Linked DNA regions of Sus scrofa. The protein of the gene in region 2 purifies or fractionates together with the protein of the main gene of each other region. This does not show direct contact. Links are inferred from orthologs where the notes say so. Each region holds a gene or a part of one and is shown on either strand. Other genes may lie near its edges. The genes, in order: CPSF3, UBE3D and DNAAF2.

What was found.
Region 1: the proteins of UBE3D (region 2) and CPSF3 purify together in Homo sapiens (affinity purification with mass spectrometry; 4 studies listed by BioGRID and IntAct, counting the BioPlex papers as one, with this or other methods). This does not show direct contact. The link is inferred for Sus scrofa from reciprocal best matches to the Homo sapiens genes UBE3D and CPSF3.
Region 3: the proteins of UBE3D (region 2) and DNAAF2 purify together in Homo sapiens (affinity purification with mass spectrometry; 4 studies listed by BioGRID and IntAct, counting the BioPlex papers as one, with this or other methods). This does not show direct contact. The link is inferred for Sus scrofa from reciprocal best matches to the Homo sapiens genes UBE3D and DNAAF2.

Annotation. Positions count from the first base shown.
Region 1 is NC_010445.4:126,900,439-126,904,804, reverse strand, and holds the start of CPSF3 (cleavage and polyadenylation specificity factor subunit 3), read left to right. Parts: upstream 1-1,502; 5' UTR 1,503-2,011; coding exon 2,012-2,131; intron 2,132-3,812; coding exon 3,813-3,820; intron 3,821-3,901; coding exon 3,902-3,965; intron 3,966-4,366. UniProt on the Homo sapiens protein: Component of the cleavage and polyadenylation specificity factor (CPSF) complex that plays a key role in pre-mRNA 3'-end formation, recognizing the AAUAAA signal sequence and interacting with poly(A) polymerase and other factors to bring about cleavage and poly(A) addition.
Region 2 is NC_010443.5:83,174,934-83,178,583, forward strand, and holds part of UBE3D (E3 ubiquitin-protein ligase E3D), read left to right. Parts: intron 1-665; coding exon 666-774; intron 775-3,650. UniProt on the Homo sapiens protein: E3 ubiquitin-protein ligase which accepts ubiquitin from specific E2 ubiquitin-conjugating enzymes, and transfers it to substrates, generally promoting their degradation by the proteasome.
Region 3 is NC_010443.5:179,481,689-179,485,062, reverse strand, and holds the end of DNAAF2 (protein kintoun), read left to right. Parts: intron 1-34; coding exon 35-178; intron 179-1,794; coding exon 1,795-2,232; 3' UTR 2,233-2,874; downstream 2,875-3,374. UniProt on the Homo sapiens protein: Required for cytoplasmic pre-assembly of axonemal dyneins, thereby playing a central role in motility in cilia and flagella.

The DNA.
Region 1 (4,366 bases), on a different chromosome or scaffold from region 2:
GTGTGCTCTTTTTCAGAAGCTAGAAAGTATTTCCTTTATACATTGATTTGATACAGACTCATTGAGCACCTACTGGGGACATAACACAAGTTAGCCACTGCTCAGTTCACCCCCGTCCTCTCTTCCTGTGTTCAGCAAACACTGAGTCCGTGCCAAGCACCACACTAGGCAGTAGGGATGTGGTAAGAGTGCTGAGTTCACTGAATTCACCCTTTTGGAGAGAATTGCCAAATGACAGGTCCTGGAGAGAGAGTTTGGAGTAAGAGCAGAGCATTGCTTTGGAGGCAGACCTGAAATCCCTTCTATACTCTTACCGATTCCTAGGACACAACATCACTGAACCCGTGTCCTCATGTGGAAATAATACAGCAACACTTAACTCTGCGGAGTAAAGGCCGTGGTACGTGCTCCGTCAATGGCGACTGCTATAGTGGCGTGGAAAGGCATTGCGCGGAGGCCGTGAGCGCATGGAAAAGGGGTTTCCAGCAGAGAAGAGAATGCCATTGCGTGCATCCTGAAAAATGCGATACGTGCGCTGAGTGGCAAAGAATGAGGAGGAATTAAAAATAGCTAAAGTGTGGGCGCAAGGATGTTCCAGGCAGAGCAGTTCTCAGTTTGTGGCCAGTCTCGTGGCTGCGGCTAAACAATTAGCAGATGAGCTGGTAGAGGCTTAGGAAGGACCTTGTATACATAGTAAGGAGTTGGCATCTTTATTGCCAGTTACTGGGAGCCAAGAAGGGATTTTAGGTGGGAATGAGATGTGGTGGGAATTTTGCTTTAGGAAGAGCAAAGATGCTCCTAGCTTTAGTGTAGGAGATGATTAAAAGGATGGATTTTGCTTTTTGCTTTTTGGGGCCGCACCCACAGCATATGGAGGGCCCCAGGCTAGGGTCAAATTAGAGCTGCAGCTACCTGCCTACACCATAGCCACAGCAATGCCAGATCTGAGCCGCTTCTGCAACCTAAGCTATAGCTCTCAGCAATGCCAGATCCTTAACCCATTGAGCGAGGTCAGGGATCCAACCCACATCCTCATGGGACACTAGTCAGGTTCTAATCCAAGTGATAAGCAGTGAGAACTTGGGATGAGTGACGTGAGGAGCGGTGGGTTGGAAAGAGGCTTGCGAGAGTAAAAAAGGGAATTCTTTAGGTCTTTGTACCTGAGCAGATGTGCTGGGAAGGGCAGCTTGGGGGAGGGAAGGCAGAGCAGAGGGCAGCGTTGCCACGACCGATCTGAGGTTGGACAACTGGCAAGGGGACATGTTATTCACTCAAGGAGTACAGGAGCCGGGGCGGGTCTAGAGTAAATTTGGGAGTTTTGTTTCATAGCAGACTGAGCGAGATGGCATTCACACCAACACTCATTTGAAGTGTATGAGTCAGTGGTTTTAACATAGAACAGAGTTTTGTAACTGTCACCTCTAATTCCAGAACATTTCACTCATTCTAGGGAGAAGCCCTGTATATCCATCCCCTCCAAATTCCCCAGCCTTAGGCAACGACTCCTCTACTCTCTGACTCTACAGATGGCCCTGTTGAGGACGTGTCATATAAGTGGGTTACACCATGTGATCTTCTGTAACTGGCTTCTTTCGTGTAGCATCATGTTTCCAGGGTCTATAATTTGGGAGTTTTTACTCATTCTTGAAGTATTTTTTGAGATTTATTGCAGGTCAGGCACTGTAGCTGTACCTGGTGAAATAGACAATTTCTCTGCTGTTGGGGAGCTTTCATTTTAATAGTGAGAAACAAGCCACAAGTTGGTGAATATGATAACTTTATGTAGTTGTAAGTGTTACGGTGGAATATGGTGTGAAGGGCAAATGAGGAGGTGACGTCGGAACTGAGACGCACATGATACAAAGAAGCCAGTGATGCCAGCATGGGAGGGAGAGAGTTCCAGAAAGAAAGAAGAGCAGGGGCAGAGGACTGGTCTGGTTTATTTGAATACCAGGTGCCTATGAAATGACCCAGGAGAGATACCAATGCCAAGTGACTCTTAGAGTCTGCAATGCAGGAGAACAATCTGGGCCACAGATACAGACTTGGGAGTTGTCAGCATGTCAGAAATATGCGAATGAAGGTCAGGAAGGCCGAGAAGAGGGCCGGGGAAACCTTAGGCATAGCAACGGTTGAAGGATGAGCAGAGGCAGCCGAGTGAAGCAAACTAAGGTGAAAAACCAGCAGGACAGGATGCGATGGTGAAGTCAGGAAAGAAGCTCAGAGAAGGACGAGTGGGTCGGATGGGAGAACAGAGAGAAAAGGACTGAAACGGAGCAGAGTGGGTGGTTCAAAAGCCTGATTGCAGTGACATGACTGAGTGGAGAAGGGATTTTAATTTGGGCATGAGCATGACATTAGTGGGTTTAAATGCCAGTGGCTGGAGTTCCCTGGTGACTCAGTGGGTTAAGGATCTGGCGTTGTCATTGCAGTGGCCCTGGTCGCTGCTGTGGTGCAGGTTTGCTTTCTGGCCCAGAACTTCCGTGTGCCACAGGTATGGCTAAAAAATAAAATTAAAAAATTAAAAATAAATACATGCCGATAGCAGAGAAAGGATGTGAGGGAAAAGCCAAGGATACAGCAGGTGTCAGTGGCTCGGAAGGAAGGTGTGTGCAGAGTGTAGAACCACCAGGAAAACCTTAGCCTCAGAAGGGGTCTGGTCTCCGTTACAAGAGAAGTGGAGGGAACCCTGTGGGTGGGTTGGTAAGTGGAGGAAATTGACAAATGAACTGTATCATTTTTTTGATGCCGACAAAGTCTGTGCCTCAGATAAAGAGTAGGATAGATGGTTGGGAAATTGCAGTAAGGGGAGATAAATTTGAAATAATCACTACCCTTAACTGTGAGACTGCGTGCACTTGGCACCCTTTGGAGGGAGCGTAGAAGGCCAGGAGTCCACAGTAGCACTGCGGTGCTTTGATTGGCTTTATCTACAGCCTGCTCTGAAGTAGGAGCTCGGTTTGAGGACAGACCCATCTCGCCTTGATCTCCTGGGAGGCTCTGGGCTCCTTGAGGTCAGGGCCATGGCATTGGGCCTTTCCACATGCTAGGCACCTAATGCACTGCTCAGCAAATAGAATCTGCTTGATGCTGAATGACTAGGTGACTCATGAGCTAGAATGGTCAGGAAAAGCATCAGAGACGATGAGGGATTGGAAAAACAGGAGGTTTAACCTAAAGTCTTGTGATGGTGGAGAAATGAGGCCGTTTTATTAATTTAAGAAGAAAGGAAAATTAAGTGTACTGACACAATGGCAAGTAGAAGGAAATGGGATTAGATTCACAAGCAGGAGTAAGTCTATTTAAATTGAAGCTGTTTGGTAAATGCATGTTATCGCCTTATGGAAAATGGAAGAATGTTGAAGTGCCTATGGGTTTATCCTTAAGTGCTAAATTCTAAAAGTATAGTGAGATAATCTAAATGACTGCTAGTTTACATCTTAAATAATCGTAATTTAACCATAGCGTTCAGAAGGTTGGATTTAACCCTTGGGCTTCTCAGGTTTGGGCCAGCTTCTCTCACAGTTTTAACAGGGGAAAGGTCCCTAAGCTCCCAAAGGTCACTTTTCATCTTTTCCCACATCGACGCCATTCTTCCCTGCCTCTGTAACTCTGTGGCCTCTCATCTGCCTCAAGTGCTTGCTGTCATCAACTGGGACATGGGTTTTTTCTTATTTATGTATCTATTTATTTTTGGCCACACCCAAGGCATGTGGACATTCCCGGGCCAGGGATTGAACCCACGCCACCGTAGTGACAACTGCTGGTTCCTTAAGCCACTGAGTCCCCATGGAACTGCCAAAGGGGAATAGTTTAAGTTGTAAAAAAAGTTTGAACTTATTGGCCTTCATTTTGATTCTTTTTTAATTGTTTTTTTATTTCTTCTCTCGAATGTTTACAGTGGCGCTGGGCAAGAAGTGGGAAGATCATGTATTATTCTGGAGTTCAAAGGAAGAAAGATAATGGTAACTATTACGTTGTGGCCAGGTTAGCGGTGTGGCTCTGTCCACGCTGGCTGTTAAGCCCTTCCTAGTTCAGTGGCTATCTGTTTAGCGCCCAGGCGCACGGCCTGGTTGGTGCATGTAGTCTCTGTACAGTGTTCACGTGGAAACCTCATAAACCCTTCCCCTTAGCAATTTGACAAAACGTCACGTAAATTGAGGAAGTACTTTCCAAAATCGTAAAATTGTCAACCGGCTCCCCGGAACTACTGTTTCTTCGGAGTCACTCTTGTATTCTGAGGGTCCGGCCAGCCCAGCTGCCCCATCCCCAGCGGGAGACCCCTAGGAAGCCGCCGCCCGCACGCAGTGCCACGCCAGGGCCTTGGTCGGGGGGGGCTGGCGTACCTAGGTTAGCACGAGGGCCC
Region 2 (3,650 bases):
ATAAAATAAAATAAAATAAAAAGAGCATTACTTAGTCATTAAATCCATTGGTGTTCCTTTTCTTTGAGTCATTTTAGTTGTGCATACGAAAGTTAACTGTGGTATATGTCTTTATTGTGCATACGAAAGTTAACTGTGGTATATGTCTTTATTTAAGTTCATATATTGGTGTCTAAAAATTATGGCTCTCTGACTATAACCTTGAACTTTATCCTCCCGTAGATACTTTGATTCTGTACCTTGGAGCTGACACTTCCAGGGGATACAATTGGAAAACATTGGCGATAGTACTGTTCAATGTTTTGGAGGAAATTTCTCACATTCTTTTTTAACTTACTTATTCACTGTTTAATGTGCCATAGCACAAATGGAGTATTGACTTGTTTTAACAGTATATTTTTTTTTAATTTAGTGGGGGGAATTGTTAGGTTTGCAGTGGAAAACGTATTAAGGATTGGAGAATAGGTTATAGAAAGACTGGAGCAAACACAAACACATTAAAATAGATTAAAAGGAGCACAGATTGTGAGGGAATGGGCAGCATATAGAAAAGTCTGCCATGCACCCACCTCTGCCTTTTAGTTACCCTATGGGTATTTTTGGCTCTTCATGCCAGTTAGAATTATTATGAGAGGCACACTGAAAATTGGTTTCTGTTCAAACAGGTCTCAGTTTGTACAGAGCGTTATTGCCCAGTGTCTGATGGAACTCTCCTCTGCTAGAAGCACTTTTAGATTCACTATTCAAGGTCACGACGGCAAAGTGTACATCCTGGTAAGAAATTATTTTACCCTCTTAGGTGAAATTATTTCAGCTCTTCGTAGCGTAATAACCCAGGGCCTTGGAAATTCGTTTGTTTTTGGCCATTCTTTTTTCTTAATTTTCAGTTCTAGAAAATAAATATGCAAAATTGAGTTTTTCTTATCAGTTCCATTCATGAATCAAACTCCCTTAATTTAATAACAAATGAAGTAAATGCCTCTTTGTGCTAGGTATGAGGGATTTAGAGAGAATTAATGCCTGATTCCTGCTCTGTAGAAACTCATGCCGCAAAATATTTTTACTCTCAGTTTTTAGTAGCTTTCTTGGTCAGCGTAACGCAGTTCCATCTTTCTCACATTTTTTGCCTATTTGGTACTCTCATGTTTAAAATATGTTCTGTTGCTCCTGTTTTTGTTTTCTTGTTTTGAATGTGTGTGGTAAGAACACCTAACATGACCTACCCTCTTTACAGATTTTTAAGTGCACAACGGAGCATTGTTAATTATAGGCATAATATTGTAACACAGCAAATGTCTAGAGCTTAGCTTGCCTAAGACCTTAAACCCTTTGATTAGCAACTCCCTGTTTTCCCTTCCCCCCAGCATTTGGCAACCATCATTCTACTCTCTGCTTCTAGACTATTTTATTTTATTTTATTTCCTCTTGGTTGTGCCCATAGCACACGGAAGTTCTGTGGCTAGGGACCCAACCTGCATCACAGCGGTGACAACACTGTATCCTTAACCTGCTGTGCCACCAGGGAACTCCCTAGACTATTTTAGATCCCTCGTGTAAGTGGAGTCATGCAGTATCATCCTGTTGTGTCTGACTTGTCTTATTTATCATAATGTCCTCGAGGTTCATCTAGATTGTCACATATTACAAGATTTCCTTTTAAGGCTAAATAATCTTCCATTGGATGTGTGGATCTCATTTTCTTTTTATTTTTTTTAGAATTTCTTTTTTTTTTTTTTTTTTTTTTTTTGCCTTTTGTCTTTTTAGAGATGGCATATGGAGGTTCCCAGGCTAAGTGTCCAGTCGGAGCTACAGCTGCTGGCCTATGCCATAGCCATAGCAACTTGGGATCTGAGCTGCCTCTGCAACCTACACCTCAGCTCACAGCATCGCTGGACCCTTAACCCACTGAGCGAGGCCAGGAATTGAACCCGAAACTTCATGGTTCCTAGTCAGATTTGTTTCTGCTGCACCATGATAGGAACTCCTAGAATTTCATTTTTTAAAAGCTGAAGTATAGCTGGTTTATGTACCACATTTTCTTCCTCTATTCAGTGTTGGTGGATGTTTAGATTGTTTCTGCATCTTGGCTGTTATAAATAGTGCTGCTATGGATGTGGCAGGGCAGATATTTCTTTGAGATCCTGATTTCAGCACTTTGATGTAGTGACAGGTTTGGGGGAAGATCCATCCCCATATGCACCACAAGCATCTGATATTAAACTACTCCTACTCAAAACACTATTGTGCAGAAAAGAATTGGAGACATAATGTGAAAATTCAGGCATCAGGACCCAAATCTCTTCTCTGCCTCCACGTCTGTTTTATTCAACCAGTATATACCGAGCACTTCTTATTGGAAAGACACTGTCTTGGGTGCTCCAGATAGAACAAAAGTGCCTGGTATCTAGAAGGAAGGAAGCAGTTGAAGTTGTTATTAGGTGTGGCTCTGGGGCTGTCCCTTCATCACGGGAACCCCAGGCTTCTCTAATTCCAGAAAATTTATTTTCTTTTTTTTTCCCTTCCTTCCTTCCTTCCTTCCTTCCTTCCTTCCTTCCTTCCTTTCTTTCCCTACAGCTGCATCAAATGGAGGTTCCCAGGCCAGGGGTCATTCAGAACTGCAGCTGCTGGCCTATACCACAGCCACGGCAACAGCAGATCCTTAACCTATGAACAAGGCCAGGGTTCAAACCTACATCCTCACGGACACTATGTTGGGTTCTTAACCTGATGGAGCCACAACAGTAACTCCTCCAGATAATTTCTACTTAGAGCTAGAATATTTTCTGACTCAAGTTGATACTAAGTGTATCTCATAGAGTCAGATTCTGAAATCAGCTTTAATTTGCTTTTATTGCAAGGTTTTCAAATGGAAAATCAGGAGTAGGAACTTTTTAAACTTACTACTAATGCATATTTAAATTTTAAAAAATTTACTTTTTCGTAAAATTAGTGCATTCTGACAACAGGAAGAAGATGAAAGAAGTCGTAGCTCCCCTTCATGTCCCCTCTTCTGCCCCACTCTGTCATACCATCTGGAGGGCACCATTATTAACAGTCTGATATGTGTATGTCAACGTGTTTTTTTCCCTATCTGGCATAACGACGTGATTGGTATCATTCTTCAACATGTATATTTCACACAACAGTTTATTGTGATGATTATTTTTTGTTAGTGTAAATGTGTGTTGGACTATTGGAGTTCTTTGGTGACTGGATCGGGCTTTGTCACTGTAGTGGCTCAGGTCACTGCTGTTGCATGGGTTTAATTCTTGGCCTGGAACTTCTGCGTGCTGTGGGTGTGGCTAGAAAAAAAAATCTGTGAATTGGATTCTTATTAACGACTAGAATTCCATTGTATGGCTGTTAAAGATAGTGCTGCAAGGAAAATAATCTTTGTGCATGTATTTTAGTACTTTAGAAACAGATCTTTCTAATCTTATGCAGTGTTGGAATTTGTGTATTTTAAACTCTGATAGTGATCACTTCCAAAAAGTTGTACAAATTCATCTTTATAAATGTTTTTTATCCCTTATAGACTTTTTTTTTTTTTTTTTTTCCCAGGGCTGCCCCTGCAGCACATGGAAGTTCTCAGGCTAGGCGTTGAATTGGAGCCGCAGCTTCTGGCCTACACCGCTGACAGCCCCAGCAAT
Region 3 (3,374 bases), about 96 Mb from region 2:
AGCGATAAGAATTTTTTTTCTCTTTTTATTTTAGGAAAGGTTATTTATCAATGAAGAAAATGTTAATGAGTTTCTTGAAGAGGTTCTAAGCTCTCCATTCAAACAGACAATGCCCCTAAGCTCACCATTAATAGAAGTTCTTCAGGTTACTGATAGTAAGATTGAAATACATGCAAAGGTAAGGATTTTCGTGGGCTCTATAGCATAGTGATTTGGGACAAGATTGAAACCTAACAAATAACTTAATTCTTGATTCCTTTTTCTTTCTTTCTTTCTTTCTTTTTTTTTTTGGCTTTTTGTCTTTTTGCCTTTTCTAGGGCTGCACGTCTGGCATATGGAGGTTCCTAGGCTAGGGGTTTAATCCGAGCTGTAGCCGCCGGCCTACGCCAGAGCCACAGCAATGTGGAATCCGAGCCGTGTCTGTGACCTACACCACAGCTCAAGGCAATGCTGGATCCTTAACCCACTGAGCAAGGCCAGGGATCGAACCTGCAACCTCATGGTTCCTAGTCGGATTCGTTAACCACTGAGCCATGTTGGGAACTCCTGATTCTTGATTTCTTGATGTAACTTTAAACTAAATGTACATAATGGCTGGGAAGGGTTATGTTAAGAGGAATAGACATATGTATTTTTAAAAATTAATTTATTTTGTCTTTTGTCCTTTTTAGGGCTGCACCTGTGACGTATGGAGATTCCTAGGCTAGGGGTCTAATCTGAGTGGTAGCCACAGGCCAGAGCCACAGCAATGCCAGATCGAGTCGTGTCTGCGATCTATACCACAGCTCACGGCAACGCTGGATCCTGAACTCACTGAGCAAGGCCAGGGATTGAACCCGCAACCTCATGGTTCCTAGTCGGATTCATTTCTGCTGCGCCACAACGGGAACTCCTATATATTTTACTATGTGCTACACATCTGCAATTCATTTACACTTATCTAATTTAATCCCCAAATAACTGTCCAGTGAGGAATAGAGAGAAACTAGCATTCAGGAATTATACTAGTCCAAGGAAAAACAAGCCTTTTTGACTCTCAAACCATGGGAACTGTGTCATACAGTTTGTTCATTCTTTCTGGTTGAATCTTAAATTTGGTTATTTTTATACTCCTTGATAATTTTTATACTCCTTGATAATAATTTAGTAACTAATACAGCTGACTTATATGTGAACTGGGGGAAGAGGAGCTGAAAAATTAACAGAAATGCAAGAAAACTCAAGTTCAAAATGCCCTTATAAGAATGACTTTTAGGAGTTCCCGTCATGGGTCATTTAGCCTGACTAGTTTCCATAAGGATGCAGTTTGATCTCTGGCCTCGCTCAGTGGGTTAAGGATCTGGTGTTGCTGTGAGCTGTGGTATATGTTGCAGATGCGGCTAGGATCACACGTTGCTGTGGCTGTGGCATAGGCTGGTGGCTACAGCTCTGATTAGACCCCTAGCCTGGGAAACTTCATATTCCATGGGTGTGGCCCTAAAAATAAAAAAAGCAAAAAAAACCCCCACGATGACTGCTAATGGGCTTTATAGGCCATATTAAAGTGTTTGTAGGCCAGGATTATTTATCTTGAAGAGGAGTCAATGAAAGTATTTAATCAGGAAATTAATGCCAGATTTGCACTGTTTAGAAATGACTGGTAGCATTTGGTGGATGACTTTGAGGGGGAAGCCTGAAAGCCTATCTGCAAGTCTCCTGCGTTTTTCCTTCCCAATTTGAAAAAAGTTTCCAGAGGGAACAATTTAATTTTGTTTGTTTCAAAGAATTATTAACTTGCTGTTTCTCTTGACATAGTTGCAAGAATGTGATAACTCTGAGCAGCTTCATGAAAACAAAGAAGGAGCCAATGAAGAAAGTCATCTAACTGAAAAAGAAAATCTAGAACATCCTACCTCCTCAACAACCAATTCTGATTCATCTGTAGCAGTCAAAGTACTAGAAGCCAACAGTTGTGGTCTGGTTGCATGCTTGCAACAAGGGGCTTTTGATGTTTCTCAGAAGCCATTTGCAGAGTCAAAAGATAATTTAAAAGGACCAGTGAAAATTGAAGAGAAAGAATTAGGTGGAGATCACCCACCTTCATCACTGAACAAAACCACAGGTCACGATACACCTGGTTTTGACAACTTAAGGGAAACCAATATGCAGGATGGTAGTGTGCAGATTATTAAAGATCATGTCACTCATTGCCCATTTAGTTTTCAGAATTCTTTGCTTTATGACTTGGATTAGTTATATATAATTTTAAAGATTGAGTAAAAATTTTTAGACTTAAAATATTCTCTTTCAGTTTACTATCTTAAAACCAAAGGCACTCAGGAGTTCCCATCGTGGTGCAGTGGTTAACGAATCCGACTAGGAACCATGAGGTTGCGGGTTCGGTCCCTACCCTTGCTCAGTGGGTTAACGATCCGGCGTTGCCGTGAGCTGTGGTGTAGGTCGCAGACGTGGCTTGGATCCAGCGTTGCTGTGGCTCTGGCGTAGGCCGGTGGCTACAGCTCGATTTGACCCCTAGCCCGGGAACCTCCATGTGCCGTGGGAGTGGCCCAAGAAATAGCAAAAAGACAAGGAAAAAAAAAAAACCCAAAAACCAAAGGCATTCAATAAAGTATAAAATGAAAATTTGCAATTTTTATTGTCATGGGGAAACTGTAGATAATTATTTTTCTGCATGTAGAGAGTTTATACAAAGCTTCTTTAATTATGGAGATAAGTTTTGTGATTCCTCTGATGTTTATTTTTTCTAACGGAGAGATATACATCTAGTTTTAATACAGCCTGTTTATATTTATTTCTGTGTTGTTTTTGGCTTCTTTTACTTGCCATTACTTTAATAAAGTTCAAAATAAAGATTTCATTAAGTTGTGTCCTTCACAAAAAGTAATTCTCAAAAATGCAGTTAACTAGAAGCACACTAGAGCACATGTTGGGGGAGAAGAATCTCAAAACCATGCGTTTATTAAGTCTCACTAAACAGGATGCATTTATGCTTGTCATAGAGTCTGAGAGAAAAGAACTTTACTAACCAATATTAAATGATCCAAACAATACAGATACACTGAATGAACTTCAGTATTTTTGCTTCAGTTGTGTATTTCATTCATAGGTAAGTCACCATATGTTATAGTAGGTTATTTATTAATGACTTTTAAAACTAAATTTTAAAAGAACTTTTTGGAAGTTATTATTACAGTATGAAAACATCCCTTGGGTTTTTTTGTTTTTTTTGTTTTTGTCTTTTTAGGAGGCTGGGGTCCAATCAGCTATAGCTGCTGGCCTACACCACATCCACAGCAACACCAGATCTGAGCCGAGTTCTACAACCTTACACCTCAGCTCATGGCAACACCAGATCTTTAACTCACTGAGCGAGA